2 linked regions of the Rhinolophus ferrumequinum genome follow. The main gene of each other region encodes a partner of the protein of the gene in region 2 in a complex. Links are inferred from orthologs where the notes say so. Each region holds a gene or a part of one and is shown on either strand. Other genes may lie near its edges. The genes, in order: antileukoproteinase and ELANE.

What was found.
Region 1: the proteins of ELANE (region 2) and antileukoproteinase are in contact, whole or in part, in a crystal structure (PDB 2Z7F), measured with the Homo sapiens proteins. The link is inferred for Rhinolophus ferrumequinum from reciprocal best matches to the Homo sapiens genes ELANE and SLPI. Residues at the interface, in NP_001963.1 of Homo sapiens: His53, Phe54, Cys55, His70, Cys71, Asn74, Val75, Pro111, Val112, Asn113, Leu114, Leu158, Ile165, Leu180, Arg182, Val197, Cys198, Phe199, Gly200, Asp201, Ser202, Ala216, Ser217, Phe218, Val219, Arg220, Gly221; in NP_003055.1 of Homo sapiens: Tyr93, Gly94, Gln95, Cys96, Leu97, Met98, Leu99, Pro102, Phe104, Met121, Cys122.

Annotation. Positions count from the first base shown.
Region 1 is NC_046306.1:12,641,118-12,656,877, forward strand, and holds antileukoproteinase, read right to left. Parts: upstream 8,733-15,760; 5' UTR 8,695-8,732; coding exon 8,610-8,694; intron 7,705-8,609; coding exon 7,543-7,704; intron 7,112-7,542; coding exon 6,963-7,111; 3' UTR 6,142-6,962; downstream 1-6,141.
Region 2 is NC_046301.1:62,054,386-62,070,985, forward strand, and holds ELANE (neutrophil elastase), read right to left. Parts: upstream 6,385-16,600; 5' UTR 6,296-6,384; coding exon 6,229-6,295; intron 5,820-6,228; coding exon 5,663-5,819; intron 5,359-5,662; coding exon 5,217-5,358; intron 4,501-5,216; coding exon 4,270-4,500; intron 4,109-4,269; coding exon 3,908-4,108; 3' UTR 3,806-3,907; downstream 1-3,805. Other genes in the region: CFD (complement factor D), read right to left, coding at 154-411, 576-720, 813-969, 1,483-1,540; PRTN3 (myeloblastin), read right to left, coding at 9,540-9,764, 10,353-10,583, 11,155-11,296, 11,426-11,582, 11,878-11,944. UniProt on the Homo sapiens protein: Serine protease that modifies the functions of natural killer cells, monocytes and granulocytes. Inhibits C5a-dependent neutrophil enzyme release and chemotaxis. Promotes cleavage of GSDMB, thereby inhibiting pyroptosis. Promotes blood coagulation.

The sequences.
Region 1 (15,760 bases), on a different chromosome or scaffold from region 2:
TTAAAAATAGGCAAACTCGTTGACCCGGTACATTTCACTTCATCTGAGCAGCTATCTGAGCAGGAGAACCTGAAATAAAGCAAAAATGATTCACATGTACAGATTTACATACACACCGACTTTACAATAGGAACCAAGAACTGGGAGCACCTGGTTGGTCCAGTGGAGTTACAGAAATGATGATCTAACCTTGAAGTGAGCAACAATATGGCCATTAGCTGAGTTCAGCTAAACAGTGTTTCCTGGGCAACCTCTCCATGCCAAGTGCATGCCCTGTAGAAGGTTGACAGAGCCGACAAACACGGCCCCTGCTCTCATAAAGATCTAGATATTTATGAAGTTTGTATAACATTGGGAGATTGTGTTATAACATAAACCAGAAAAGAGGATATGAAATTATATGTACAGCATAGTCATAATCAAGGGAAAAACGCACTTGAACGAGAAAGAACAAGCCACACCTTCCCTCCGGACAGGGAGGGGGGCGGAGGAAAATGACTTTCCTGGACGCTAGTCCTATTAAAGCCTTGCCTTGTTTTCTGTATCAACTGTTTCTTATTCCCCATAGATTGCAAGAGTCACAATTCGAAAGGAACAAAAGGCATACTTTGTGAAATCGCGTCAACACTAGCTCCTTTGTGGGGAGCTTTGCAAATTACGGGCAGTTTAGGAAAATGTTTCTCTTTCTCTGAACAGATTTAGGCTATGCATTATCTGAGAACTGTTCATCCTTCAGGGCCTGTGTGCCATAGGAATAAGTCTGCCTGTCTATCACCCGATCCAAGTGATACTCACTGGACATTTGGAAAAATAAAGATGATTATCTGCAAGTCACAGCAGATGGAGTGCTCAAAAGGACGAATTCTGTTATGTCAATGCCCACTCTGGATTATTTTGGGAAACTTGGAACGCCAAAGACCTCACTAGACCACCCTGCTACACCCTTCTCTCACCTCCAACAAGGGTTATTCCCCAGACTCAGAGAAATGTGTTGCCAGGGGCATGAGCCCGTGTCACCTTGTAGGGGAAGGAGCCTGAGTCCTGGAAGGAGATAAACGCCTGGGTTATACATAGAACACACACTGAAAAGGCGATGGCAGGTTTTTTTTCTGTTGATTGCTACTTATCTAATTTTTGACAATGATCACTCGAAAAAAAAATTAAGCTCTTACCAATGAATTAAAAAATATTTAGAGTCCAGAAATAACACTGGATTCCCCAATTCTTTTTTTAAGACTCTTTTTTTTTTTAAAGAGCAGAGTTATGTTCACAGCAAAATTAAGAGGAAAATACAGAGATTCCCCACGTACCCCTCACCCCCACGCATGAATAGTCGATCCCACTAGCAACACCCCGCACCAGAGTGGTGAATATTCCATTGTCTGGATGTACCATCATTTATTTATTCATTCACCTGCTGAAGGACATCTTGGTTCCTTCCAAGTTTTGGTAATTATGAATAAAGCTGCTATCCATATCTGTGTGCAGTTTTTTGTGTGGCTGTAAGTTTTCAACTCCGTTGGGTAAATACAAAGGAGTGTGACTGCTGAATTGTAGAGTAGGAGTATGTTTAGCTTTGTAAGAAACTGCCATATTGTCTTCCCAAGCGGTTGTACCAGTTTGTATTCCCACGAGGAAATAATGAGGGTTCCTGTTGCTCCACATCTTTTTTAGCCTTTGCTGTCGTCACGGTTCTGCATTTTGGCCACTCTCATAGGTGTGTAGTGGTGTCTCACTGATCTTTTTATTTGCATTTCCCTGATGACATGTGATGGGGAGCGTTTTTTCACATGCTTATTTACCATCCGTACAGTTTCTTTGCTGAGGTCTCTGTGAAAGTCTTTAGACCATTTTTTTTTTTTAACCCGGGTGGTTTGTTTTCTTACTGTTGAGTTGAGGTTGTAAATTTTGGACAACAGTCCTTTATCAGATGTGTCTTTTGCAAATAGTTTCTCCCACTCTGTGGCTTGTCTTATTCTCTTGACCTTGCCTTTCACAGAGTAGTTTTCAGTTTTAATGAATTTTTGGGTAATGATGACTTATTCTAATAAGGTTCCCCGGGGGACAGTCTCAGAGGCAGATGTTTATGTGCAGAGGTTTTCTGGGGAGTAGTCTGAGGAGTAATGTGAAAGGTACATGTGAAAGGTAAAAGCAGCATGGCTGGAAGAGGGAGAAGTGGAATTGTGATGCAGTTGCCACAAAGTCTCAGCCAACTTCATGGGGAGCGCGGGAGTGAGGAGGGACCGTCAGTGTCCCTAACTGAACAAGGGAGCCTTTGAATCCCTACATCAACTAGTCAGTGGATACAGATTGCCCTGGGAACGAGGTGTAACCTTGGATGAAGCAGCTTACTTCGGCCTGGGCAACTCCCAGGGAGGGACTGAGCTGTGAGTGTCAGCAGCCAACGCTCCCGGCACCTGCAGGCATGAGTACCTCAGCCCTAAAGGGGGATCTGGACAGCACATCACGGCACCCACTCTATAATCTGAAAAAAATAAACGTGAAAAGAAAGAGAAAGAGCGTGGGGCTTGGAGATAAAGGGTACTCAGCTCCGCCACTGACTTACTGAATGATCTCGGACAGCTCTTCTCTTGGGGCCTCAGTTCTCCATCTGTACGTTAAGAGGGTGTTACAGGACAGACTACCTTTGACATTCTAGTTGCGGCTAATTGGGACACCCATAAGTCACAATAGCCGGGTAAGCAGGTGCCCTGGAAGCTGACCGCACAACTACAAAGGATGGGCTGGGGTGGGGTCACAAGGCTGAGGAGAACCTGGAATTACAGGGAGTTCATAGAACTCGATGGGGTGGCCCCTCCTACCGGGGCTTTCCCTCAAAATGCTTCTGAGACTCATTAGTTTGTATAAAAGCAGAACAAAGTGGGACTTTAAAGGGCAGATGGATCATCCATTCATTATACAAATGAGGAGTCAAAGAACTTGTCCAACGTCACAGACTGAGTCAGCAGCAGAATTAGGAATCAACCTCGGTTATTCAAACGTGGCCAAGTGATTTCTCAATATCCATGTTTCCCGTACCTTGAGTCAAGGTTTGTTTTGGTTGGAAGACAGAGATACCCCCTCAAGCTAACTTCTCTGAAAGGAGAACCTCTTTGAAAAGAGTCAGACTAGAAAGCAGTGATTTGAGCACAGCACGCGGCAGTGGCTGTAAGACAGGTTTAAAATGTATCCAGAGTATTGGAGGGGCAGACGCCCTCTTAGCACAGTAAGGTCAGAATTAAGGGACCCATGGAATAAAACCATACTCTTTCATGTAGAACTTGGGAGTCTTTCAGGGAAAAATTAACCTTGTGTTTCAAATATTTGATTTTAGATAAGCTGAGAGTAAGCTTGAGCTAGAGTGGAAGACAAAAACCACTCTTACTCCTGCCAAAAAAGATGGGTTTCTCCTTCCCCTCTTCTCAGCCGTCACCGATCCATCACACTGAATCAACAGACAGTGAAGATTGACGTCACCCTCCTCCACCAAACACTGAAAGCATGTGCAAGAGAAAATTGCTTAACATTAGTGGACCTGGAGAGTGAAAACAATCTATTCATACGTGATATTCTTGTAGTGAAGTTTCTGGTTCTTCTCCTTTCATTTCCCACCTCCATCCCCACCCAAACATGGATTAGATTCAAACACTTCCATGTGGGATCCATGATGAAATGAGGCATCACACAGAACTCAAAGACAGGAAACGAAATGAAGCCATACAGTGGACTGACACTGGGCTCCAAACAGTGATCAGGACTGGATTATTCATGTCATAAACAAATTCCAAACAGTGGTGGCTTAACACAACACGAATTTATTTCTTGCTCACGTCATAGTCCCAGGCAAGTGGGGAGGAGAGGCCGTGATCCACAAAGAAACTCAGGATCCCAGGCTCCTTCCAGCTACACCGCCTTCCAGGTCCTTGGTCCAGAATTGGAACACATCAGTCCCACTCACTTCATTGACCAGAACTCAGTCATATAGCTGCACTCAACTGGAAAGGAAGATGGAAAATTCAATCTAGCTGTGTGCCCAGGAAAAAGCGGAGACTGTGAATATTGGTGGACACTAGGGTTAGTTATCTTTAGGTCTCTCTCTCTTGCTGTAGAGTCTTCTTTGCTTCAAACCCAGTTTATTCTTTTTCTCTACATTCCAGATTTATGCTTTCTTAGCTCCAACAGCCTGAGCCACCGGGCCAGCCCAACCAGTCCCCTTTTCAATCCTTTTTCTCTACAGGAAGCCATCATCTCACATTTGGTGTGTATCCGTTGGTGTATACTCATAAACAACTTGCTATTTTGTGTGATTCTTAAACATATAAAAATACTTCATACTAATCTTTATATCAGTGATATGATTTCCCCAACAAACTGTTTTTGTGATATGTCTCCATGTGGACTCATGCAAATTTATTTTAATTTTTCTATAGCATATCAAGGTATGAAACTTTAACCGTTTCACAAATGAGTGACATTTAGGTTGGTTTCAGTTTCTGATTCTTTGGAACAATCTTGTAATAAAGATCCCAATATGTGTATTAGGCTCTCATTGGCAAATGTTTAGTGTTGCCTATATTTCTGGAAGGAAAAGTCCTAAATGATAGCTTATGTGCATTTTCAGTTTTATTAGGCATAAACAATCATTCTTCTAAGTGGCTGTCCCAATTATATGCACATCAGCACACTTTTGAGTCTCTGAGAGTTTATATTATAGACTTTTTTTAAAAAAAGATTTTATTGGGGAAGGGGAACAGGACTTTAGTGGGGAACAGTGTGTACTTCTGGGACTTTTTCCAAGTCAAGTTGTTGTCCTTTCAATATTAGTTATGGAGGGCACAGTTCAACTCCAGGTCCAGTTGCTGTTGTTAGTTGCAGAGGGCACAGCCCACCATCCCTTGTAGGAATTGAACTGACAAACTTATGGTTGAGAGCATGTGCTCCAACCATCTGAGCCATCCGGGAGCTCAGCGGCAGCTCAGCTCAAGGTGCCGTGTTCAATCTTAGTTGCATGGGGTGGAGCCCACCATCCCTTGTGGGAGTCGAGGAGTCGAACCAGCAACCTTGTGGTTGAGAGCCCACCGGCCCATGTGGGAATCGAACCGGCAGCCTTTGGCATTAGGAGCACAGAGCTCCAACTGTCTGAGCCACTGGGCTGGCCCTATATTATAGACTTTTAATTCTTACCATTCTGATGGATGAAAAATGGTGTTTCTGGTTGTTTTAATTGGCTATTCCTGATAACTAGTGAGGTTGAAGCTCTTCTATGTGATGTTAACCATCTATTATAATAATACCTCTTTTTTGATTGCTTATCTATTCATTTTCCTTTTTTTCTAAGAGCTTGATTTTCTTCCTGATTTGTAGAAATCCTTCACATGTTTTTCATTCTGTTTCTTTGTCTGTTATAATGATCCCCAAATATTTACTTCAAAGCTAGTATTTATCTTTTAACTCTTTTGTGTTTATAATTTTTTATGTTGATGTAGTCAAATTTTCGGCCATTTTCTTAATGTTTTTGTGCCTCGCTTGAAAAAGCCTTTTTACCCGAGATAAGTCTAGCACTTATTGTCTACTGTATGACAATCACGGGGCTATTCATTTCACGTTATCACCTCTAGTTCTCATGACAACGGAATTGGCATTGCTGGTACCGTTCCCATCTTATAGTTGACAAAACTGCAGCTCAGGGGGTCACAAGCACTTGCCCAACATTATAGGGCCAGTAAACTACAGATGCAGGACTTAAACCCATATCTGCTTGACTCCAAACTCTCTTCTTTCCACTTCACAGGTTGTGGGTGAAACCCTGTGCATGCGGATATTTCGTTCTTCATCTCACCCGTCATACTGTAGACCAGACTCAATGAGTCAAGGAAGATAGAAGTGTAGAGAAAACTTTGTACATTTATTTGTTCATTAATCAACAGACAGTTCCTTTTGTGTGCCAAGCCTCATGTTGGATGCTGGGCGTACGTTGATAAAACAGGTCCAAACTTAGACCTCAAGAAAGTATTGGTTACAAAGCTACATCTTCATCAAGGTACTCTCATTTTCTCCAGGCTTCAGGGGTGGGGGTGCGGCAGGAATCCCCAGACCGCAGATACCAGGAAATCATAATGGTTTTGAACTGATAAAAATAAATTTGTGGAAAGAAAATAAAACAGAGCCTCAGCACAGGAACAATCCAAGTAAGTGCCCCTTACATCTTTCCCCTTCTGCCATCACGCCCGAAATCCCTTGGGATAAAGAGAGTGCAAGAGAACACGGTGCTGGAATAGTTGAAACAGTACTGGTCTTTCATCTAGGAATCTAGAACAAATTCAGGCTTTTCACTGACTCTCTGCTTTAGTCTTCCCTCTGGTAAAATCAGAGCATCGGGCCTCCAAATCTGTGCATCATACTAGGGTTTCCTGTGGGTCCAGATAACCCAACCAAATGAGGCCACAACCATAGCAATACTCAATGCACATAGGACTTCAATCTTAAAAAGTACTTTTACAGGTAGTATCTCAGTGGATATTAGGTTGGTGCAAAAATAATTGCGGTTTTTAATGGAAAAAACTGCAATTACTTTTGTACCAACTAATATAATTGTGTCCATTTTACAGATTAGGAAACAAAAGTTATGGAAGATACAGTCAGTTGCTCATAGTCACACAGTTAGTCAGAGGCAGAGATGATATTAAAAGATAGAACTTGTGCAGCCTTGTGACACGGCTCCTTCCTCCTAGTTCATTCCAAGAATCCTTCCCTCCCAGGACCCAGCACTACCAATCACAAGTGAGCCTGGAGACTTCTTGTTTGGAGAACAGGGGGTGAATACTGTTGAAGGGCAGAGGATCTGCTTGGTGGTGCGGGCTGCAGGGAGACGCTAAGCGTCCCCCTTTACCTGGAAGAGCACACGGAGTTTGAGGCTGTATTAGGATGGGGGGAATGTGGACTTGCCAGATCTTCTCCTTACCTCACACTGGTTTGACACATGAGTTTCCACACATCCCCTTGCAGCACTTGAAACCGTTCAGGCAGTGGCTGTCATTCAGGCAGTCGTCTTTGGGGCTGAGCATCTTACACTGGCCAATGACTACTGGACAATTCTCAGGGTTGACCGCAACTGGTGAGAAGAAAGCCACTACTCAGAGGCTTGATCCCCTAGACACCATCCAAGCTCCCTTCCCCATCTCTATCCCATGCATGGAAATCAGGTCCTCCCCTACCTCCGTACCCAAACAGAGTCAAGCGCATGTCTTGAAGAAGATTCCTTCCCACTGAGGAGGCTCCCAGCAGTGTTGTAAATGTCTGAAGGACAGATTGACTCATTGACTGACTGACTGCTGTCAATGAGTTGACTCATGGACTGGCCAATGGCTACTGGCTTACCTACTGACCAACTGAAAACCTGAGAATGCTGAGCTGGGAATGGACGAGGCCTGATTCTGCCCCATTATCCAGCCTAGTTCAGAGAAGCCCCCTCCACTTCTCCAAGATGCGTGTCCTCACGTTCAAATTTCCCTGGTCCCCCTTTCCAGGACTCTACTTCCTCACCTGGCTTTGATGGGTCTACAGGATCCAAGCATTTGATGCCACAAAGGTCAGGACAACATTTCTGCTTCTCTGGACACTGCCAGTCACTGTGGCACTGAGGGGGTTCATAGACAAGGCACATCGCCGGGGATATGAAGGGGCAGGCTCCATATTTAGATTTTTCTGAAGGGTAAGAACAAAGGAAGGAGAAAGATTTGATTCTGAGTCATGACCATAATCCTGGACAAGGAACCAGCTTCTCAGGAGGGGAGAGAAAACCTAACCCAGGTGGCTGACCCCAAAAGAAGGGAAGGAGCAGTTAGGATTCCAGTTTTAAGGCAGGTGTGGGGCAGTGGCAAGCTCAGCCAAGCTCTCAACCAAGAGCGTGTCAATGGCCCAGGGAAGAAGACACAGATGGTGGTGTGCTGGTAAATGTTTTAAGAGGGAGATTTTGTAGTGTTCGCCAATTTCCATGGTGTAAATACTCCCTTCACAATTGATTTCAAGCTACCAATGTGATGTCAACTAGCCCACAAAAGTCTTGAAAATTTACCAGTCAGCTATTGCAAGCCAGTATGAGCCAGTTCCAGGACCCAGCTGCATAGAGCTCACGGTTAGGTGTTCCCGGCCCAGGTAGAGGGAGAGATACACCCTGGCTGGGAGGAACACAGAGAGGGGCAGTGATAGCAGGAGAGACAACTCATCAGAGATTGAAAGAAAGAGAGCAGATCAACTGATAAGTAAATAGAGAAAGAGAAAGTGACCATCAAAAAAGAGCTAGTAAGAGAAAAAGAGAACAAGTTGGAAAATTACACAGATGGAGACGAAAAGAATGTGACAGAGAAAACGACCAAACAGTAGAGAAGGCACCGTAGAGAAAGAAACAGTATGACAAGTACTGAGGTCAACAGGTCCATTTGGTGAAAGGTGGGTTTCCAGGAGCTCAGAAACTCTCTTGGTTGAAGTCCTCGGAGAGATGCTTGAAATTACGGGCCATAGGCTGGACCACTGGAAATATGGCTTCCAGGTCACCTGGGCTAAAAGGAAGAGGCCATGCCGAGAACCTGGATGGCCTGAGACTGACTCACCTTTGCTAGCCCCTTCCACAGACCTCAACGTCAGGATTCCAAGGGACAGGAGCACCACAAAGGGGACCAGGCTGCTGGGCTTCATAGTGAGAGCAGGTAGGGCTGAGGTGGCCAGGGCCCGCCTTTGCCCTTATACCTCTCCCTGTGGGTGTGGCCCAACCAGAATGGTCTTGGCTCTCCCAGCTGCTATTTCATAAGCAGGAAACTCAGGCAAAGACAGTGACCTTGCCATGTAGAGTGTTGGTGGCTCTTTTCTGCTCTAGGCAAGAGCCTGGGGCCCAGGAAGGAAAATATAGAACTTGGAGGGGGACATGTCACCAGAATGGCCAGGAGCCATTCACAAACACTTTAGAGAACCCTGAACCACCTGCCTTTGGGGTGAGAGGGGGAGGGGAAAAAGGGAGATTAAAGGGCCGAACGGAGGGACATAATGGAGCTTCTCAGAAACCTGGAACAATCAGTGAGGTGTGACCCTTCAATGAACCTTGACTTTCCCACACTCCCGGACTCTTAGGGATTACCCAAAGTCCCTCCCTTCTGTAAGCGTCAGCTGACACATTCACTCACTTTCTCCTGGCTTGTTCTGATATAATACCTGTAGTTCCAGGCACTCTGCGGGTCACAAAGGGGTTTCTCAAAGAATCCTCGTTGAATAACAGGTGCAGTGGGGACAGCAATGAAAATCTCTTTGGGCCTAAGTCTTCCCAGCTGGGAAGTGGGGATAATAACAACTGACTAGGTCACCGAGAAGGATTTGAGATAAGCAGGGGAAAGGACATTGAGGACAGTGGACACACTACCCCATGGCATTGTGATTGGAAGGGAAACTGATGTGAAGCAAATCACATTGGAACCAATTTTTCTGAGATAAACTAATAAGACTCTTTTCAGCAATGAGTTGAACAGCCAGGTAGAAAAAGAGCACCACTTAACAGGCTCAAAAATTTCTCCCACATCCCCAAATTAGTCCACTGCTCTCTCATGATTATAATGAAGGTTTTCATTTACTGATTATTAACTGCGTGCAAGCCTATTATGGTGAAATAAAGAAAAAAAAAGCATGGGATTCAGAAAACAGAATGTAGGGGAGAAAAGAAGTGACAACCCCCTTCCCCTGTGATGCTGGTGACAAAATCCCAAAGTGACAGCTGAGTACCAGAAATCCAGGGCCACCAGCCCAGACTGAAGCAGGTCAGAGGGGTCTCGGAAATACATCTTCTAGAAAGTGAAATTAATAGATGCATATGAATACAGGCAGAGGAAATTTTGGCAACTGGAGGAGAATTTGTGGTTGAATAGGTGATAGCTATATAGAAAACCAAGCAAAGGTAAAACTCAACAATTTTTCACTTCAGAGAGAATAAAAAAGTTGTGCCAGAAAAGAAAAACAGTATCGTTTACTACACAGTTCAGCTGTGACAAGTGTTTACATAGTCATGATAAAGTAAACAATAGTACAGATCTAATCAAATTTATTGCATAACGTTGATGGGAGGGAGGAGGATGGAAGGGTGGGCCTATGGGCTAGAAGTGTTGAGAGGGAAGAGGTAGATGAAAATCTCGTTTGCAATTGTGGACAGTCAATAGATTATATCTAAAACGGAAAAGTCAAGATGTGACGTTACACAAATACTACTTAGAGACAGGGAGGTAAGTGCCAACATAATAAACTAAACGTGGTTTCTTTTCCTCTGGAGGTGAGAGTGGTGGTGATGGTGGTGATAAGCAACTGCTGTTTTGCACCACCACCTTTGTAAAACTGTGACTCTGCAGTCTATCTGTATGTATAACTCTGATTAAAATAAAGGAAGATGTTTTTGAAAGAAAGCCTATTATCTCACCTAGCTCACCATAAAGATGTACCATCACTCAGGTAAAGCACCATGCATCCAAGCGTAAGCATTCTTCTTCTTTTTTTCTAAATTAAAGTTTATTGGGGTGACAATTGTTAGTGAAGTTACATAGGTTCCAGGTGTACAGTTCTGTAATATATCTGTAATCCTCTATATGTCACATTGTGTGTTCACCACCCAGAGTCAGTTCTCCTTCCATCACCATATGTTGGATCCCTTTTACCCTCATCTACCACCCCCAACCTTCTCGTAACCACCAAATTATTGTCTGTGTCTATGAGTTTCTGTTTCTTCATTTGTTTGTCCTGTTCCTTTGTTGTTTCCAGTTTTATATACCACATATCAGTGAAATCATAGGCTTCTTGACTTTTTCTGCCTGACTTATTTCGCTTAGCATTGTAATCTCATGATCCATCCAGGTTGTCGCAAATGGCACTATTTCATCTTTTCTTAAGGCAGCATAGTATTCCATTGTGTATATGTACCACATCTTCTTCCTTTGTACATAGTGTCTCTCTCTCTCTCTCTCTCTCTCTCTCTCTCTCTCTCTCTCTCTCTCTCTCTCTCTCTCTCTCTCTCTCTCTTTCCCCGCGACTTGGGAGCCCCTCCTCTACTCCCCATCTTGCCCTGCACTTACCACTTTCTTGATGATTATCACTGAGGATAAGTCCAGTTTATGGGGATGATTCTCCATGAGATGATAAGGTCCTAAAGAAGAGGGACTGTGTCTGTCTGGTTAATTGTAAAATTCACCCTATTCAGTGTGCAGAGTTTTGTGACAAAGGCTTATAGCCGTGAAACCACCACCACAATCAAGAGAGAGAACAGTTCATGACCCCACAAAATCCTCTTGCACCCTTTGTAGTCAATCCCTTCCTCTACTCCCAGCTCTTGGCAACTACTGGTGGGTTTTCTATCCCTATAGTTTTGCCTTTTTGAGGCTGTCATATAGATGGAATCAAACAGTATGTAGCCTTTTGAGTATGTCCTCTTTCACTTAGTGTAATGTATTTAAGATTCATCTGTGTTGTTGGTCGTTTGTTCCTTTACAATGCTGAATCCTGTTACATTGCATGGACAGGTCATGGTTTGTTTATGCATCTCCCTGATGAAAGATATTTGGGTTGCTCCCATCTTTTGGTGATTATGAATGAAACTGCTCTAAGCATTCACGTACAGGTTTCTGTGTAGATATGGTTTACATTTCTCTTGGGTCATATCTAGGAGTAGGATTGATAGGTAGTATGGTAAGTGTATGTTAACTTTAGAATAAATTGCTAAATTATTTCCAGAGTGTCTTATCATTTTCTAGTCCCACCAGTGGTATGTGAGAGATCTCATTTCATTGAAATTTTATTGTTATTTCCCTAAAGACTAATGAGGAAGTGATTATTTTCATGTGCTTGTTTGCCATCTGTATGTCTTCTTTGGTGAAGGATCTGTTCAAATCTTTTACCCATTTTTATTGGGTTGTTTGTTTTCTTCTTGTTGAGTTTTGAGGGTTTTTTATATGTTCTACATCCAAGTACTTTATCAGATATGTATTTTGCCAATGTTTTCTCCCAATTGGTGGCCTACCTTTCATTTCTTAATACTGTTTTTCAAAGAGTAGCAGTTTTTAAATTTGATAAAATCCCAATTTAAAAATGAATGAAGTCATCAATTTTTTCTTCATTATGTTTTGTGGTGTTGTGTCTGGGAAATCTTTGCATAGCCTGAAGTCACAAAGATTTTCTCTTTATGCCTTCTTTTAGGGCTGCTTCTCCAAGCTTCTGCAGGCCATCTCTTTCCCAGGGCCCAGATCAGAGAGGTCAGGCCTAGAAGTGCTGCTGCAGGCCATCCTCTGAGGTTCTGTGCGTGGAGGATTGTGGGAGATAGTATTGAAGGGCTGGAGGTTCTGCTGAGGGTTACACATGAGGCAGCCCCCCGTCAATGAAGACAGTTTCTACGGATTTGGGCCACACTGGGGGAGGCTGATGGCAGGTGGGTCACAGAACTGAGCCTAGCCTTTCTTCTGCTCTTCCTTAGGGACAATGCACCACTTCCTATACTTGCCCTTGTAACACTTAAGGCTGTGTCAGCTTTGAGCATCATTTTTGCAATAGTTTGGAGGGTTGAGCATCATACGAGTGCCTTCTACCACCGAACACTCCCCATCTTTCATCTGAACTGGAGACAGCAGGTCCAGAGCTTGGGACCCTCTTCTGTTTGGGACCACAGCCCAGCCTTATCCTGCTGCATAGAAGCCAACCTTTTCCTGCTCTCAGTCCCCAAATGGAGGCCTAAGCCTCTCATGAAGGAAGGCCTGATGGACTGACTGTGGCTTACCTACAGTCAGGCTGCCAGGGGTTCCACTAACTGATCAAGTAACCAGTAAGATTGACAAAGTTGGCAGTGGCAGAGATCCAGCTAGGCCTTATCCCCAACCAGATTCAGAAGGAGACCTACCTACACTCCCAAACTCTCCATCCTTGGAGAGTCTCAGTCTTTGCCCCTTGCTTGCAGATAGGACCCTCTCACCCAGGTTCAGAACATTTACCGGATTCCTACACTTCATGCAACACACAGTAGGGCAGCATGTCCTCTCTGAGCACTGCCGGTCATTCTGGCAGTAAGAGCTGGTCGACCTGGCACCACTAAAGGGTGACAGGAGGGCAGGCTCCAGCTTTCTCTTCTGAACACAGACAACATGGACAAGAAGGGAGGTGGATTTGACAAGTGCACGAGAGGCCATCTTCCCAGGAGGTGAAAGGAGTCCCCCAGATACCAAGAGGAAGGCTGTGGGGGAGCAGTCATAACCCCGATGTAGACGAGGGGAGCGTGCTAAGGACAGCCTGATAAGCGGGCGATGAAAAGTCTGTGACAAGCGGGCTTGTGATGTCTGTGTAGGGTCACATTCAGGTGAATGTCCCAGGGCAAGATAAAGACACACAGAACAAAGAATGACAGAAAGAGAGGAGAGAATAAAGACAAGCCTATGAAAACATTACGACAAAAACTGAGAGTTAGCGACGGGACACAGAGAAAGAGAGAGATTAAAATGAACCAGAAATTAAAAGAAAGCCAGATAGACACAGAGGGAATGAGATGAAGAAGAAAAGAACAAAGTCAATGTCAAGAATGAGAATGAGACGAAGTATAACAGAGAGGTAGAGTGAATATGGCAGACAGAGGTGTTTTAGTCAAAGGCTAATTGCAGGTGGTCCAGACACACTCCCTCACAGAGAACTTGGCCCCTATTTGTCAGGATCCCCTTTCCTGGAAGGCTCAGTGGAAGGACTTGTTGAGCTCTGGCCCTAGGAAAGGAAGAGGTGCTCACCCCCAAGCTCGCCAGGAATCCTTCCATCTCTGGCCCATTCTGAGACGTGGGACTTTAATTCAAGCACTGTCGTTGAAGTGGTAATTAGATTCCATTAGAAATATTAAAAAGAGTGAAGTCCCCAATTTATCACTTGCAACTATGTAAATTATGATGAAAATTATTGAATGTCAACTTGAAACTTTCTAAAGAATACACACTTTTTCAAAAATTTGTTTAAGATGCATGTGTCAAAGAAAAACACATCTTTTGAAACCCACACTCCATGACCTGAAATCCCTAATCAAGACAGATTCACATAGCAGACAGCGAGAAGATGCAAGGCTAAATAATACTTTATTATTAGGTAGATTAGGGACTCAACTCCTAAACAAGGAATCAAGGGAGCTAAGCTGGGCAACAGACAAGAGTTCCTTTTCTTGGTTTATAATGGCCTACATTTTAGACCCTAATGTAGCCTAGCACTAAGGCCTGTCCTTCTCCTTGTCCAACCCAAAGTCCCAAATCTCGTCCTAGATATATTACTCCAACAAGTGGAGAAACTACCAGTGGTAGCACCAGAGAAAACGTAGCAAACAGGCTTGCTCCTCCATTTCAGGATAACGTGTACACATTTCATGGGGTCCAAACACAGAAGATACGACTCAAAATGCCCCAGGGTCCAAGGTCACGGTTTGGAATCTGACCAACAGAGACTGTGAGTGTCAGAAGACACTGAACGAGAGAAACACATCAGAAAAACAGGAGCTCAGGAACTGATCAAAACTAAATGGGAAACAGTACCTCCATCCTCTTTTACAAACCTTAAAAGATCTCCCTCAAAAGCTGAAGACAGAGAAAGGGGTATGGATGGGTGGGGGAGGGGTCCAGCAGCCATAGATCTTCATGTACAGTAATTTTTAATATTTAACACTTTATTTTTATATTAATCAGCCTTCAACTTTTTTTTTTTTAATTAGTTTCAGGGGAAGCATTAAACTCTTGATAAAAGGAAGTCTTGAGGAGAACAAGAAAGACCTGGAGATCAGTTATCCGTCTGACCTGTGCTACCAGTGTCTTCTCAGGCCTGGTTAAGAAGGGGTTTCTCCCTGGGGAGAGAAGAGAGAATCAGAGCTATGGGACGGTGCAAACCTGCAGGGGGCAGGGACTGGGTCGCGAGACCACTGTGGTCGGCATCCCACTAGCTATTCTCCTCCCAAGAGCCCTGAGATGTGCTGCCAAGGAATCAGGCACTGGGGATCAGCCATCCTAAAGAATTAAAATCTTATAATCCTTTACCTCACAATTTCAATGGGAAGAGGAAAAGGATTCATTATGAGAAGCTGGAAGAAAAAACAATGGCAATTGAAAATAGTCATAATGAAAATTCAGTAATACTTATCCAAATGTCCCCATCACTCACAGCAGAAGAGTGAGGCCCATTACATGAAATAAAGTGTGGGGTCTGATAAGAGGTCTGATGCCCTCCCACCCCCAACTCTCACCCTCCGTCTTTACTGTCCTTGAGGCAAATGTCAGGGCAGAGCCCCATTTAAAAGCTCGGATCTCAATGATTTCCAAGGGCACTGGCAGTTCTCAACTCCCTGTGGGACTCCTGGTTCTCCCGGAACATTTCTGGGACAAAGCTGAGAACGGCCGATGTGGGGTTTCTCACCTCAATCCAAACTCGACCACGGCTCCACACACTGACGTTTACAATTGTAGAAACAACACTTCTTGGCCCCTTTGCAACCTCTATCGCGCCGGCACAGAGGTAAAAGGATGAAAGGGCAGGAAAGTAAGAACTCTGGGCAGTATCCAGGTTTACCTACATCTGAGGAAAAAGGCCACAGGGTGATTGGGGCACCTGTGGGTCGTCGCTGGGCATCAGTGCCAGCTTGTCCCGTGGACTCCTCCGAGGGAACGTTCCCCACCCCAACAACACACAGGACCGCCACAGCCTACACGCACTTTTCTGGGATCCAGACTGCGCCATGTAG
Region 2 (16,600 bases):
TGCCCTCTCTCGCATCAATCTGCCCAGGCCCTGCCCACCACTGCAGGCCCCACCCACCAAGGCCCCGCCTTCCCAGCTCTCAGCTCGGCCCCTTCGATTGGCCCCGCCCTCCATGCAGCCCCGCCCTTCTGCTGGCTCCGCCCCACTCCGCACCTTGCAGGTGTCCCGGCGGTTGCTCTCTGCGCACATCATGCGCTCCGTGATGGTGCCGTCGTGATACCTGCGCAGGTTGCAGGTGTCTCGGTCCATCACCCGCAGGGTCAGGTACTGCAGGCGGTCGGGCTGGCGGCCCGTGTGGCTAACCACGCCCCAGCCGGCCACGTCGCAGAGCGTGCGAGCGGCCACGTCGCGGTCCTCTCGCTGCCAGGGCAGGGGCTGCACAGCTGGGCCCAGCTCTGCCTTCTCAGAAAGCTGCAGGTGGGAGGAGATGGGCGTCAGGGCTGGGGTCCGGGGGGCATGTAGCAGGAGGGACTACCGCTGGACTCGGTGGGACCTGGTGGGGGGAGGCGGGCGCCAGGTCTGGGGTCTGGGGGTGTTGGATGCAGCAGGAGGAACTGCCGCTAGACTTGGCCGACCTGCAGCAGGAGCAGGTCATGGTCGATGGTGTCGTGCCGGCTGTCCGGGTGGGGCACTGCGCGGAGTACGTCGTACAGGCGCTTAAAGGGTTCCCTCTGCGACAGCGAGTGCGCGCCCAGGAGCACCTGCACCTTCCCGTCGGCCCTGGGAGTGGGGTAGAGTCCACGTCAGAGCAAGGTCCGCACTCCAACCCCTCCCCCACTCTATAGCCCCGCACCCTCGTCCAGGCCACTCACACGTCCTCCAGGCAATGCGCTGCGCTCAATACCCACTGCTCGGCCACCAGGAAGCCGCCGCACACGTGTTTGCCATTCACCTGCACCGAGGCCATGTAAGGCCGTTGGTGGGAGTTGGCCTCTCTGCCGCCCAGGATTCGGCCGCGGGGCTGCGCCGCTGGGGATGGGCAACAAGCGCGTGAGGACGTAGGGGATGCCTGCAGCCCAGCCCACAGACGCCGTTTCCACACCCCAGGCCGCTCTACCCGCCTCAGACCTGGAATTCCATCCCTGGATCCCCACACCCCAGCGTCGCAAGCTCAGATGCCTGGGGGCCTGGGAAGGATAGGGAATGCCAGGGTCTGGGGCACATTCCGTCACACACAATGAGCAGCACGGGTTCTATTTAAACCTAAGAAAAGTCCCAAGAAAAGTGGAGCTGACAGGACCAACACTCCTGCTGGCCTGTTCGGCCCGCCGGCCGCCAGTTTCCACTGTAGAACTGCGCATTTCAGATCCAAGTTTTGAGAATTCCTGGACTTTCAGAGTCTTCCATTCACAAGGACACTGACCCCTTCTGCCCACCGAGAGGGGCTGGGAGACAGTCCTGTGTGACAGAGGGGGTCCCTGGCTGACTGCTCTGTAGGCGGGTGGCCCCTAGCTGGTCCACTCCAGTTACAGGTTCACTCACCGCATAGAGCTGCTCCTAGGAGGATCAGAGCCGCCAGGTGCACTGAGAGGTTTGCCATGATGCTGCTGTTACCGCCACACTGATTCAGGCGGGGTCCTGGGACACTCTTATGAGGGTGGAGGGGGTGGTGGCTGCCACAGGCCCTGTCTGCTGGGTGGGCAGTCACCCAGCTAGGAAAGAAAAGCCCGCCCCCGCCGGCCCGCTTCACTCTCCTCTGGGTGGGGTTCTCTCCTGCTGTACTTTGCACCACAAGGGGTGCCTCCTGCCTCCGTGCACCTGGCCCAGGGTTGGCTCTGGTGTGGTGAGCAGCCCAGGGTTGGCTCTGGTGTGGTGAGCAGCCCCTTAGGGTGGGCAGAAGCAGGGCGAAGGGACAACCCACACCCACGCCCCCAGAGCACCCCTCCAGCCCCAGGTTTCGAAACAGCAGCTGGAGGCCACGGTTTATAAACAACCCACTTCCTCATTTTTTTGCTCCTCCCTTTTCTCTCTTCCTTTTCCAGCTTGGAGGGGGTAGGAGGAAGGTCACCCCACACCCTTGTCCCATTGCTGCAGCTCTGGAGCCTGATACCCCAACAAGCAGGACATTAGAAAGGTGGTGTGTAGGGGCAAGTGGAAAGACTGTGCCTTCAACAAGGAAATTTAAATGGAAAGTTCAGTGTCTGCCTTTAGGTGTGGCTTGATCCAGGTGCCTTGAACAATGTCAGGCCGCTGTCTCTGGTTTCTCCTTCCTCCTTGATGGCTTTTCTCCTAACCAGGCTCCAGCGTTGTGGCCTCAGAGGCCCCAGACTCAGCCCAGTGGCTCAGTGCCCCCCCTCCGCAATTCCCCATCACTCCAGCCAGTGTCTCCAGGCTGTCTCTGATTGGCTGAGTTTGGATCACATGCCCCCTCCCAAACCAGTCACTGCAGGCAGGGGATGGCAGGTTCTGATGAGCAGAACTCGGGTCACATGACCCTCTCTGTAAGGTGGGGATGGGGGATCAACATCTCATGTACCTATTGGGGGGGGGTGATGGGACCAGAAGGGGGGGATGGACCTCATATGACCCCAGTGGGAACAGTACACAATACTTTCCCCTTTTTTTTTCCTTCCTCACAGCGGATTATTTCATACATACAGAAAAAATTAGAAAATAACATGTGATCTGTTAGATCCTAACATATTTCCTTATTAAAATCAGTTCTGAACAAATGCCCATGAGGATATGAGGTCCAAATTATGTGAGTAAGAGTGTTTAAAATTGCAACAAAATTTGGAAACCACCCTGGAAGATGGGGCGGTTCAATAAATAACCCTGATGGTCCCCAGATGTCATGTGGATGTGGAAAGACTGCCTGCGTATAGTATTGAGTGGAAAAAGCAATTGCATGGCAGATGGTCACATTTCTGAGCAGCTGTTCCTTGGAGAGGTGGGATAAGGGGACACCCTGCGGGAAGAGCAGTCAGGCAGAGGGGACAGCCAAAGCAAAGGCCCTGAGGGGGACCTAGGCTTCTGAGCTCCAGCGGGAAGGTATTGGGGGCCAGGGGACAGAGAGGGGAGAGGAGATTCATCCCAAACTCATGGCGTGTGTGGGGGACAGCATTACCTGATGGTATTTCTCTATTTGCTTGCTTAAGTGATTGTTTCTTCCCCCACTGTCAGACTGTGAGCTGCGTGATGGCAGAGGCCATATCTGTTGTGGTCCCTGCCTGTGGCCCCAGGAAGGTAGAAGAGGGGTACAGGCTGGTCCCCTCTTTCAGGGCTGCAACTTCCATCTGGTCTGGGGGATGCCTTGGAAATCATCTGCTCTGCCCTTCCCCCTTTGGCAGAGTAAAATGCTGGGGAGGTGAAGGAGGGCTCGTCTGTGTCACCCAATGAGACCCCAACCCCCCTTACCATACAGCACCTCACTCCTCCCCGCAGGGAAACGGAGGCTCAGAGACAGTGAGCAAGTTGCCCAAAGTTAGAGCTTGGACTCAAAGCCAGGCTCCCGAACAGGGCTTCACCTCTCTTGCTCTGTAAAACAGGGCACTGACGGGACCGGCCACAAGGGCTGGAGCCTCAGAGGGCTGGATGAGCGAACACTTGCAAAGACTGAGAATGATTCCTGCACCTGGTAAGCACTCAACGAACACCTGCTACAGTGCTTTGTGTCATCACCACGTGCAATGCTAATTTAATCACACAAAACCCGGTTTTACATGAGGGAAACCAGAAATGGCAACTGGCATTCTTTGTGGAGGGTGGAGAAGGAACTTACTCCAATGCTCATACTCGTGAGATTCCCAAGATGCTCTCATGACTGCTTTCAACGCCCAATTACACAACCAACACCAAGACACAGTCTACAAAACAGAGGGTTTTTATTGTGCCAGATGCTGCATAACGGAGCGTGGGAAGGCCCCAGCCAGGGGCAGGTGAGGTGGGGTGACAGGGCCAGCCCCTTCTAGCGGATCCTGCTTGCAGGGTCCCTGGGGTGGAGATGGGGCTGGTCACCGGGGCTGCGAATGATGGAGTTGATCCAGTCGGCAAACTGCGCGACGGGGGCAAAGGCGTCTGGGTACAAGCCGGAGCCACAGCTTCCCCGGATGAAGGAGTCAATCCCATGGATCAGCCCGTTGCAGACAAGAGGCCCACCGGAGTCCCCCTGTGTGTGGAGCCAGACTAGGTGGGGAGGCTGGGCTTCCGGGGCTCCCCACCCACTGCCCTTCAGAGTTGGGAAGTCTTTCCCAGGGTCTGGCTGCAGTTCCACTTGCTGCAGTCTGGGCAGGAGTGAGGGTGGAGTGGTGAGGGGATGCGGGTACTTACGAAGCAGATGCCTGCCCGCCGGCGAGGCACCATTGTGCACACATTTGTGGGGCGGCAGAGGGATGTTACCACGGTCACGTTGAGCTCCTGCAGGACTCTGGGTGGTGGCCGGTTGGTGCCCAACCGGCCCCAGCCCATGGCTAGGCACTGCACCCCATTGCCCACGCCTTGGTCCTGATCGGGCAGCTGGGCCACCTGCACATTGGCATTGATGGTGGCTGACCCATTGAGCTGTAGTGGGCAGGGCAGAGGACAGGAGAGTCACACAGGGAGGTGGGCACCGGCCCTCCCCTTTCTGGGCCTCAATTTCCCCACATAAGGTCCCACCATGGTTCTGGGATTTTACGGAGTAGGCTGCCCACCCAGTGAGATGCTCCCCACCCTCAGTCTCAGTTTTCCCATCTCTGAAATAGGAACAACAACAGTGGCTCAGGGCGTCCCTGGATGTGTATTGAGAGGAGTAAACATACATACTCAATATAACAAGCTATGGGCAACACCAATGACAACGAAACCGTATTCTAAAACATTCCAGAGAATAATCATAACTCTGCCAGCAGTGGGGAAGGGAGGGTTTCTCCCTCCAGTTTCCCTTCAGCCCAGATGTGGGGAATTTTGCCATTTCACAAAGGCAGGAACAGTCCCTGGGCACAGGGCCATCAAACACAAATAATCATAACATTTTGTTGATTGACAACTAGATCTCTCTGTGTCTAGATCTCTCTGTGTCTTCTCGTTCACTCTCTCAACAGCTTTGCCAGGAGGGGCTTGTTTCCCCAGGTTACATGAGTGGAAACTGAGGCACAGAGACGAACTATCAAGTTAGAGCCGCATGTGACCTCCAGTGTTTCCGCTCTGTCTCTGCCCTTTCCAAGCCTTTGGCCCTGGGCCTTTGCACCTGCCGGTCCCCTGCCTGGGCATCACTTCCCACCCCACTGGCCTTGCACCTTCAGAATCACGATGTCGTTCAGCAGCCTCTCGGGGTCGAAGCCATTTTCAAAGACTTGCTGGATGGCAAACGACTGTTGGGTGGGCTCACGCTGCCCCAGGTTGTGTGCCCCCAGCACCGCCCGCACCCTCTGGAAGTTTCTATAGGCAAAATGGGTGCAGGAGGTGATTCGAGGTGGCCCCAGGCGTTGGGGGTAGCTGAGAGACTCCAGAGCTCAGCCAAGCCCGGCTCTACACCCAGGGGTAGCATCGCCACCCTGGGCAGATGCTTGGGCTCATTGGCTGAACGCCCCCACTTGGGCCTGGTAGGGGAGATGCGTTCATGGGGGACCCCTGGAGGAGCCTGGGCCCTGGTCTCACTCTCCCCCTTTGACAGATGTGGAAACAGAGGGTCTGAGAAGGGAAGACACACGGGGTGGCGAGGGCAGGGAAGGCGATCACTCACATGCCGTTCACACAGTGCGCGGCCGACATGACAAAGTTCGGGGCCACCAGGGTGCCACCGCAGAAGTGGCCTCCTTGCCGCTGCAGAGACACCATGAAGGGCCATGCGTGGGGCTGGGCCTGCCGACCACCCACGATCTCAGAGGCTAGCGCGGGACCTGGGGATACGTGGAGGCGGGGGTAGTGAGTGCCACGCAGGAGCCCCACCTGCTGAGCCAGTCAGCCCTTGAACTCTCACCAGGAACCCACAGATCAGGGCTCTTCATGTGCCAGATGAGGAAACTGAGGCACAGAGAGATAGGGGGCCTCCTACTGCCCCCTGCCAGGGCACAGCTAGATCTGGATTTAATTTGGCTTTGCAGTCCCCAGAGCATGCCCAGTGATGCCCCAGTTCAAACTCTGGGCTCTTCACCACTCTGGACCTCGGTCTCTTTCTCTGGAAACAGGTCTCCCCATCCCAGCCATCACCTCCCCATGAGGGTGAAGAGGCCACGCAGGTTTAGGGCACAGTGGAGAGGCAGGAATGGAGGCCGAGAGAGAGATGGACAGACATGTGGCCCCACTCACCGCCCAGCAGCATGGTCAGCAGGATGGAGGTGAAGGTAGGACCGGACGGTCTGCAGCTTTGGGTCATGGTCGGGCGGGGGCTTTGATGTCTGTGCACCCCCGTGCCCACCGGGCCTTCTTATGGCTTGATGCCTGGGACCGTTGCATTGCCCCACTTCCTTTCCCCACCTCCAGGACAAGGGCGATGATGGGAAGACAGTGGGGGTGGGGGGAGGGGGCGGCGTGAGGGGCCTGGGTTGGCTCCAGATAAAATTCAGGACACACAATTAAATTTGAAATCAGATAAACAATGTTTTTTAGTGTGTGTCCCAAATATTATACTTATTTAGGAACTTAGTCATTGTTTACCTAGCATTCAAGTTTAACTGGATGTCTTATATTTTTGCTAAATCTGGCAAGCCTAGGCCCAAAGGGCGTTGGCTGGTTTCCCCACTTGCCTTAGTTTACCCAGGGCACAGGGGTGATGGAGGACTGCTGGGTCCCACTTGAGAAGAGGAAACTGAGGCACAGCGAGGTGTTCCCCCATGAGTTCCTACACAGTGACACGGTGGGTAAGCTAGGCTTGAACCCAGGCCCCACAGTTTCCAGCTGGAGGGTGATTTGCTCCACCTTCCTCTTGGGGCTTGGCCTGCCAACCTCTCTTTGATTGTTGCCCACAACAGGGACTCCCTCCCACCCAGGGCCACATCAGTCTCTGGCTGCCAACAGACGTTCTGGGAAAGAACCCCTTCTCTCTGAGTTTTGCTGAACTCCCTTCCCTCCTGAAGTTGGAGAGCTTCTGCTGGGCCAGTGGAAGAATTCAATCCGAACAACAAGGCCCAACCCCCACCCCATGGCCTGGTTCCTCTTCCCACCTCCCCCAGGATGCTCCAGCTGCAACGGCCATAGCCAAGGCTGTCGCAAGAAGCAACGTTCTCCTGGCCCGGAGCAGGGTTCAGGGGAGGGAAACAACGGATCCATCGGCAGGAAGAGGCAGGCGGGAGCACCAGGGGTGCCCGGAACCAGAGCTGGAATCCTGTTCGTCCCTGGGTCGACCCCGATGCATGGCCACGAGCAAACAAACTCCCTTCTCTCTCAAGTAAGGATGACAGCACTGCGCTCCCAGACCCTGGCGCACAGCAAGCACTCCATGTCTGCCCTTCATTCCTCCCGTATCAACCAGTCCTACCCCGCTCCCTGCTTGGCAGGGCTCCCACCCAATTGCATTAAAGTTATCATAGAGCACTGAGTAAGCACCTGCTGGATACACAGTCCTGTTTCCAGTCCTGGAATGGGGGAGAGTGGAGGAAGCCATGTCTTTGGGGGAAGAGTGGCTCAGGCAGAAAGACCCCATTTAACCAAAGCTGCATTTATCGATCACCACCTGTATACTATGTTCCCACATCTCATGGTGGTCAAGCTTATATCCTGGTGTGGCCACTTGCCCACTACATAACTTCAGGCCACTGACTTAACTCTTCTGTGCCTCAGTTTCCTTTTCTGTAAAAGGAAAGTTATAATAATAGGCTCCATCACATAGGCTGTCCCAAGGATTAAATGAATGAACATTTGTAAAGATTTTGGATAAGAAAGTGATATCCTGGAGGGTTTGTTAGCCATTAACCACCTCCAGGAGGGCAGGATGGTGATTGTCTGGTGGGTATAGGCTAGGATGCGAACACTGGGCTTCTAATTTGCAATCAGAGTAGTGGCGACACTGGCGACACCCTTATAATGAGTCATGGAGCTTACAAGTAAGACGCGCGCATTTTTAGGTCTCAGTTACAGCCCAGTAAGAAAACAATGATTTGAGTGCCTTTCCCCACTGCTGGAGGCCTGGGGATCCCTGAGCTATAGGAAGCAACCCCGTACAGCTGTGGTCACCAGCAGCAGAGACTACCCCCACACCCTCCCCTCAAGGAATCCCTTTCACCCTGAGGCCTTCCAAGTGTGTGCTGATCATCCTGCTTGTTATTCCCATGGGCTTCTTTCAACAGCTCAGCTAACCTCTGGCAAATCCACCCAACACCTCCCTAAACCCCACCAATTCCCACTATTGGGTCTGGTCTCTGCTGTGTAGGGCTTCCCTGGGTCATCTTTCACACACATCAGCCCCAGAGAACCCTCCTGGCGGTGTTTTTGTTGGTCTTTCTGTTTCCAGCATTCCCTCTAGCAAAACTCTTCTACCCCCAACACTGTGGGCTTTTTATAGAAACCGCTTCCCCGCCTTGGGCCCCTGGGAGATGCAGGGAATTCCCAGCAGGGAATTCCCCTGACACTCATTAGCTTATATTTCCCAGGATTCATCCAGGTCCCCTGTCTCCGCACACATTTTCTCCTGGTGCTGCTGGTGTAAACCAGTCATAGCACCTACACTGGGGTGGTAACTGAGGTATAAAAGAGTTGCAGAACTGGGCAGGCCTGGGAATTCTCGTTCTTGCTTGTATTTTGTACGCTGCCACCAGGTGGTGGCAGAGTAAATCAATAACGAAAGATCCGCCTTCCAATTCCAGTGTGTCCCATGAGCAGTTTGGCCCCTCTCTCTGAGCCTCATTCCCATGGCCATTTGCCCACTGGCCAATGACCTCTACCGCTCCCTGCCTCAGGCCTCTCCTCTAGGCTTACCCCAGTTCATATCTGTGGTCTGGCATCCTCTATTCCCACCACCTCTCTGAACTCTCCTCCCCCACCACCTTGCCTTGCTCCATTCCAGCTGCAGTGCAGCCTTGCAGTCCCTCTGCCCTCGCTATGCCCCTGTCTGGGGGCCCTTCCCCTCCTGTTCCTGTTTGTGCATTGGCAGTCACCTCAGTCATTGCCGCCTCCTCCAGGAAGCCTCCCTAATGGCTGCTCTGCCTGCCTCTGACCGGGGAGGAGCCCCACAGGCCCCAGGCATTCTCTGTTACCACAGCCTGGTCTTCCAGCAGCCTCACCACACACCCCCAGCTGGAGACACAGAGCTGGAAATGACACCCCCCAGCCTTGAGGGTCAGGGTGAAGCTCCGTGGACAGTTCTGGGAAATGTCTGGGGTGACTCCCTTTTCCAGACAATGAAACTGGGCCACAGAGATGGACAGCAGCTTGCACAGGGCCATAGCAGCGGGGTTGGATTAGATCCCATGTCTGTGGGCATGGGAGGGTGGGGAGAATGCACTGTGACCTGAGCCCTCCACGGACCTCCAGGCCTTGGCTCCAAATCCCCATCCCGAGTCTGGGGTCTGGGGACTCACATGCTGGGGACACTCTCCCACATTCGCGACAGACACGAGCCAGAGGGGGGTTTCAAGTTTTATTGATGTCACCATGGGCTGAGCACCGGCCCCCTCCCTGTCCTGTTAGGGCTTGCTGTCTGGCCTCAGCCCTGGGGCATCAGTCTGGAAGGGGAGGCTCGGGGGCTGTCCTCGGCCCCCTGCGCTTCTCAACACGGATTGAATCCAGTCCACGTAGAGGGACACTCGAGCGAAGAAGTCGGGGTACTGGCGGGTAGCGCACTCCCGGATCAAGAAGGAGTCCACGGCCTGGATGACGCTGTCGCAGATCAAGGGGCCGCCTGAGTCCCCCTGTGAAGTGTGGGGACAGGTCACTCAGTCACCCAGGACTTGGCTACGTCAGGGAAAGGGTGGCTGAAGACGACCTAACGCCATTTACGGGTAAAATGTTTCCAGTCCAAAATTTTCTTTAGGACACGTGGACGAGAGAGGGAGATGAGGCCACTCTGGAAGACAGCAGGCGTTTCTTCCAGAGTGGCCTCATCTGTATACCTGGATCCCTGGATTGAGACTAGGCTAGTCACCCACACCTCCCCAGGTCTGAGAGGGCCCCAGGAAGGGACAGTCCCCAGACCTATGAGGGCCACCAGGTATGACCTGAGCGGCCCCCTCTGTGCCTGTGGGAGCTGAGGCTGTTCCATGGATCATCCTCTGAACCCTCACAATGGGTGTACCCTCCTTCCAGATGGGGAGACTGAGGCCCAGCCTGCAGCTGCTCAGTGAAGAGGAAGTGGATTCGAACTGCAGCCTACCACCCACCCTCCTTCCCCTGGGTGGCCGCTGGAGCCTCCTCTGCTCCAGGGCAGCTCCAGCCTCTAGGGAGGTCCCTCAAGCCATCCAAACGCGGTGTGGGGCACTGGGAGCTGAGCGGATACATACGAAGCAGATGCCAGCTTTGCGACGGGGAACAAAGGTGCACACATTATGTGGCCGGCACAGGAAGGTGACCACGGTGACATTGAGCTCCTGCAGGACGTGGGGCAACGGCGCACGGGTGCCCAGCCTGCCCCAGCCCATGGCCAGGCACTGAGTGCCGTGGGGCAGCTGCTGGTCCTGCTGGGGGAGCTGGGCCACCGCAACCTGGGCGTTGAGGTTGGCCGGGCGGTCCAGCTGGGGCAGGGAGAGAGTGGGTGGGCAGTGAGACCCTGTCTACAGGCCCCATAGCCACCCCCTCCTCACATCCAGCCATGTCCTGACCACCCCAAAGTGCCTCCTCTGGGCTTTTGCACATGCTGTTCCCTCCACCTGCCCCCTTCTCACTCACTCTCAGGTTCTACCTTGGAGGTCACCTCTTCCAGGGAGCCTACCCTGATTGACCTTCCAAACTCTGCCAGAGCTGTTTTACAGTCTCTGACACTGCGGGCCTCCCCTTGTAGCATTTGTCACTATGGCATGCATTCACTTACAAAGCAATTATTGAGTGCCAACTGTATGCTCCATCCTCTCCTAAACCCTGGGGATCCTACCTCCAAGAGGATGACAAACATATAGTCAAGGGAAATGATGACATGGTGAACCATAAATCAGGGCTGTCGTTCCTGCTAGGGTGAGGGGAGCCCTTGCTAAGAAGGTGAGGTTGGCACCTAGGCTGGGAACTACTGTCTGAATGGCTCTCTCCCTGCCAGGCCTGCTGTGTATCAGGCCATGTACCAGCTGATGAAGGATCAGCCAGCCCACCCACCTGCAGGAGGAGAATGTCGTTGAGCTTCTGCTCAGGGTCGTAGTTGTTGCCAAACTGGCGAGCGATGGAGAACCTCTGCTGGCTGGGCTCAGCATTCTGCAGGTTGTGGGCCCCGAGCACCACCTCCACCAGGGCGGGGGGCCTGCAGGGTCAGGGCACTCATGCCTCGGCCCCCACGTCCTCCACTCCCCACCCCAAAGAGCACCCTTAGGCCCAGGGTGCAGCCCCCTTGGTGACAGACCCAGGCAGGGCCGCCTCCCCCCTCACTTACATGTTCTGCAAGCAGTGGGCCGCGGTCAGCACAAACCTCGGATGGATCAAGGTGCCCCCACAGAAGTGGTTTCCTGCCACCTGCAGTGATGCTATGTAGGGTCGTGAGTGGGGCTCCGCTTCCCGGCCACCCACGATCTCTGCGGCCTGTGCTGCCCCTGAGGATATGGGCGTCGCAGCTGTCACTTTTCCCGGCTGGGCCCATCCCCACCCACCTCCCTGGGAGGGAAGCACTGTCCATTTTGCAGATGGAGAAACTGAGTCAAATGTCCCAGAGCTCCACCTTGCTCCCTTCTCCCTCCCCTTGAGGCCTTCATCCCAAGCAGTGAGTGGGTCCTGGCCTGCTCCTGCCTCAGTCTCCCTGTCTGCGCCGTGAGGGCGTTGGGCTGGCCGTCGTGGGTGGAATCAGCAAAGCCTGGCTTGTTGGACTGAGGAGCATGTGGCCCCACTCACGGGCCAACAGCATGGCCAGCAGGACCAGGGCCAGAGCAGCGCCGGAGAGTCTGTCGCTTTGGGTCATGCTTGGGTGCAGGCTCTGGGATTCCCCGGCCTGCCCATCCCTCTTATAGCCCAATGTTCAGAGGCCGTTGGGGTTGCCCCACGCCTGGGCTGGGCATCCCCACTTCCTCCTTCCAACTTTGGGGCCACAGGGAGCTGGTGGTTGAACAACACTCCAGGAGGACGTGGAGAGTTAAGCTCAGGGCCCTGACTCCCCTGTGAGTGTGGGAAGCCCACCCCATTCCGGGATCCCCTGGACAAAGGGCAGCATAACAGCCCTCAGTGGGGCACACATTCCACCCTCCATACCTCCCCCCATGGGATCCCTTGGCCCCAGCAAAGCGGGATATGGCTGGCGTGTCCAGGCGCTAGAGTGAGCCCCACTCATGGGGACTGGAAAAGCGACGGGAAGAGCAGTGGGAGCCACAGAGGCGTGTGACCACCTGAGACCCAAAAGAATTCACTGTTCCCTCTAAGGCAGAGTTCTCGCCCAGGTGACTGTGCTCCCAGGGGACACTGGGCCTTGTTTAGGGACATCTGTGGTTGTCAGGACCGGAGGAGCTCCTGGCATTGAGTGAGTGGGGCCAGGGATTCTGCTCAACCCCCCACCATGCCCAGGATTGGGGGGGGGGGCAGACAACCGCCCTGTCCCAGTGTTCACGAGGCTGAGGAGAAGAGATCTTAGTTAATTATTTGGGAAAAACTTGAGTTCATTCCCTGCTCACAGTAAATACCAGAATAAACCCCAATAGCCACACGGTATAAACCAGGGTGGCCCCAGTACTTCCTCCCTCCTCCCACTCGGGCTGTGTACTAAATGTGAGCAGCCTCCTAGGACCTCAGAGTCAAGTGGGTATGGAGTGTAGTCTCTTGGATCAGCAGAACCTCTGACCCATGGGTTAAAGGAGGGAGGCGCTGACACTCTCCACAATGGACCCTGAACACACGGTGCTCACGAGAGAAGCCGGACACACAAGGCCACACAGTGTGTGATTCCACTTATGGGAAACGTCCAGAACAGGCGCGTCCACAGACAGGACGTGGGTTAGTGGTTTCGGGGGATGGTAGCGGGGATGAGGCTTCCTTTTTGGGGTGAGGGAATGTTCTGGAACTAGATAGAGATAGTGGTTACATAACACTATGAATGCACCAAATGCCACTGAATTGTTAAACGGGCAAGTCACATGGCTTATAAAGTATGTTTCAATAAAGCTTTAACCAAAAAAAGAAAAAGAAACACACACACACAAACCCTGCTAGATGATGCACCCATGAAGGGGGAGCCTCCCTGCAAAGTCTTGGGGTCATTCACCGGCAGGGAGATGGTCCAGGGTCCCCCTGACCAAGTGCTCTGCTCCAGGTGTGCATCACACCGAGGCCTGGGGGCAGGCAGGTGAGTACAGGATGGGGGCTGCCTGCAGGCAGAGGGAATAGGGGATGTGAAGGCTCCTGGCTGGGGCAGGAGTGGGGCGTGGGGAGGGGGAGGCGTGACTGTAACGGCAAGGAAGCCTCTGGGGCCTCAGGGGGTAGGACTGGCGGGTGGAGGGGAAGCTGTAGCCTTCCCACTCCAAGTGTTGGTGGTGTAATTAGCAACGGGGCCACAGGGGCGGGAATGTGGGTCCATGGGGTCACTAGGACTCAGGCGAGGAGGGAAAGAGAGCAAGCGGGGCCCAGTCTGTGTCTGTCTCTTTTTCGTCTCTTCTCCTTAAAAAAGAAAAATACTCTTTTCTTGAGTGTGTCAATGTGGGTGACTCCAAGCTGGAGGACCACACGCTCTTGGACCCCAACCCCCTCAGGCCTCAGTTTCCCCATCTGAACAATGAGTAGGCAGTGACTTGATCTGTCTAAACTCCAGCTAGAACCCCTGCACCGATCTGGGCTCCTGCACTGCCACTGACATTCCTCTCTGGGCCTCGGTCTCCCCATCTGTGAAATGGGTTAATGGCAACGCAACTAACCTTAGTGGTGGGTCAGTCTGGGCAAACACTGGGGGCTCCTGGTGTCAGTGGGCTGCATTGGGGGCACTGGCACTCAGGGCAGAGGACTGCAGAGCCCCACAGACCCCGACACCACGCAGCTCGGGGCAGAGCTCTGGCCCCCTTTGTACGGGTCGCAGGTTCAAGGTGTTAATGGGTCATGGCGCACACGCTATCTACAAGCCTTGCAAACCAGGCAATTCGTGGCCCAGTCCATGATACAGGGGTTGCCTCTTGCAACTCAGATCAGCAACATTAAGGCTCAGCTATAATGCAGCGCTCCCTCCAGCACAAAGAGGTGTACTGCTCTTCTTTAACTTATTGTTAGCTTTTAAGCTTGATTTCTGCCCCCACATAATCCAAGCATCTAAAAGACATGTAAAAAAGACTGGAAAGTCTTGTTGCAGCTCCACCCCCTCCGCCACCAAGTAAACTAACTGGGTGTCCTGGGCTTCTGGGTGCTCTGATCTGTAAAAGAAAGTGTAACACACACACACACACACACACACACTGTTTGTCTCCACTGTCCCGTGAAGACCCCTTGGGTCAGTGAACAAGGAGCCTCCACCCTTTAGACAGCTGCATAATGAACCAGACTTTGAGCATTCTGTGTCTCCTCCTGGGGACACTGGATTGTTTTCAGTCTCTTTTCCTTCTAGCCATGTGGTAGGATCTATCCTTGTACACTTGTCCTCCACACAGTACAGGGTGACAGATGGGGTCAACCCCAAGGTGGCGCTGCTGGCTCAGAGGCCCCACATCGGTCTTTACCAGGAGGGCACCCCAGTGACGTGCCCGCCCCCAGGCAGATGCCCACAGTGTTCTCAAACTGCAGGATTTTTGCACATCCCACAGGTTGAAAAATAAAATGGTGTCTTCACAGAGGTCTGCTCACATTTCTCATATAATCAATGAAGGTAAAGTTGTTTCTGTGTCTTCAAGGTTCTTTTTTTTTCTTTGCTGTAAACCATCTGTTTACATCCTTTACCCATTTTTATACTACTGGGTTGCTGTTTTTTTCTTATTGAGTACAAGTGGTCATTATATATTAGACTTATTACAATTGTATTTTATTATGCATTATTAACTATATGCATTTTAAATATATATAAGTATGTAATGTAGTGATGTATAATAAATAATGATATATATTATTTAAATTTTTATATTAACAAAAAACTTTTTCCCCCCTTTCTTCTGCGTCCCCCCAACACTCCGGTTCAAGCCGTTGTTTCTCAGCCTAGTTGTGTAGGACACAGCTCCCTGGCCCACGCTGGTGTTATGAGCCTTGCGCTCTCCCCAGCTGAGGCAGTCAGTCGCTGGTCGTCGGTCGGCCGCTCACAGCAGCTCACGGGCAGCTGGCCACTGACACTGGCCGCCAGCCACTGGCTGCTCCTGGCAGCACTCAGCAGCCGGCAGCAGCTCATGCCAACCTCTGGCTGCTCACCACAGTCCAGCTCTGGAGTTGTTGTTCACAATCTTAGCTGTAGAGGGCGCAGCTCACTGGCCCATGTAGGAATTGAACTGGCGACCTCGGTGCTAGGAGCATGCTGCTCCAACCACCTGACCCACCCGGCTGGCCCCTTTAACAAAAAAATTTAGTTTAATAAACTATCGTATGTAATATATAATTCTATTGACATATTATTTCCATATAATTACATTTATTATTTAACAACATTATTTACATTTTAGCATTTTAACTCTTCCTATATTAGGCACATGAGCCTTCTGTGATTCAAGTGGCAGGCAGTCTTTGGCCAGTGTCCTGTGTGTGCCTTTTGACTTTGCTGCACAATATAATATATTCTTGACCTAAATGAGAGGTAGTTAAGGGGGCCCCAGACCTCACAGCTTTGGGTTCAGAGCCCACATTGGTTATGTAATGTCAGGTGAGTTGCGCACCTTCTCTGAGCCTCAACGCTCCCTCCATTCCCTGGTTCTCAGTGAGGGGAGGCCACACAGCCTGTAAATGCTCCTGAACCCCCGCCCCCAGCCCTTCCCTGGCAAAGTAGAGACCAGGTGCAGAGGAAAGAATAAATAGGACAGCTGCTTTATTAGAGTCACAACCACACAGGTTGGGGGTGGGGGTGTCAGAGGTGGGGGTCACAGTCCCCCCATGGCTTTGGTAGGTGAGGGGTTTACTACAGAATCAATCTAATATCAGAAGAGCGCCACGTGGGCGAAGAAGTTGGGGCCCCTGCCACAGGGCTCCATGGAGAAGGAGGCCACACTGTATGCCAGGCTGTTTCGGATGAGAGGGGTGCTCCTGTCTCCCTAGAAGAGCAGCAGAGGAGTCAGGTCACCCTCAGGCCCAGCTCCCCATTCTACTCCCCCCCCCAAACTGCAGAGCTGGCAGCTGTCCCCACAACTTCAGCCTTTCTTCTGCAACCCCCAACTGTTGTCCCAACCCCACATGTTCTCCTGCTGTTAAAACAGTCGAATCTGTGAAACATGCAGTTCTAATTCCATACTGAATCCCAGGGACTTGTTTTCTCCCAACACGGGAGCTCCTGATCTCTCAAGACCCCTCCTCCTGCCATGGGGAGCCCTTGCCTGGTTGTACCTGGCCTTACCTGGCAGATGCTGCCCCGGCGGGTGAGGATGCCAGTGCACACATTGCTGGGGCGACACTGGTCCGAGGGGGTCACGGTGACATTGAACACCCTTGGGAAGTGGGACGCTCTTGAGTCCCCAGCCTG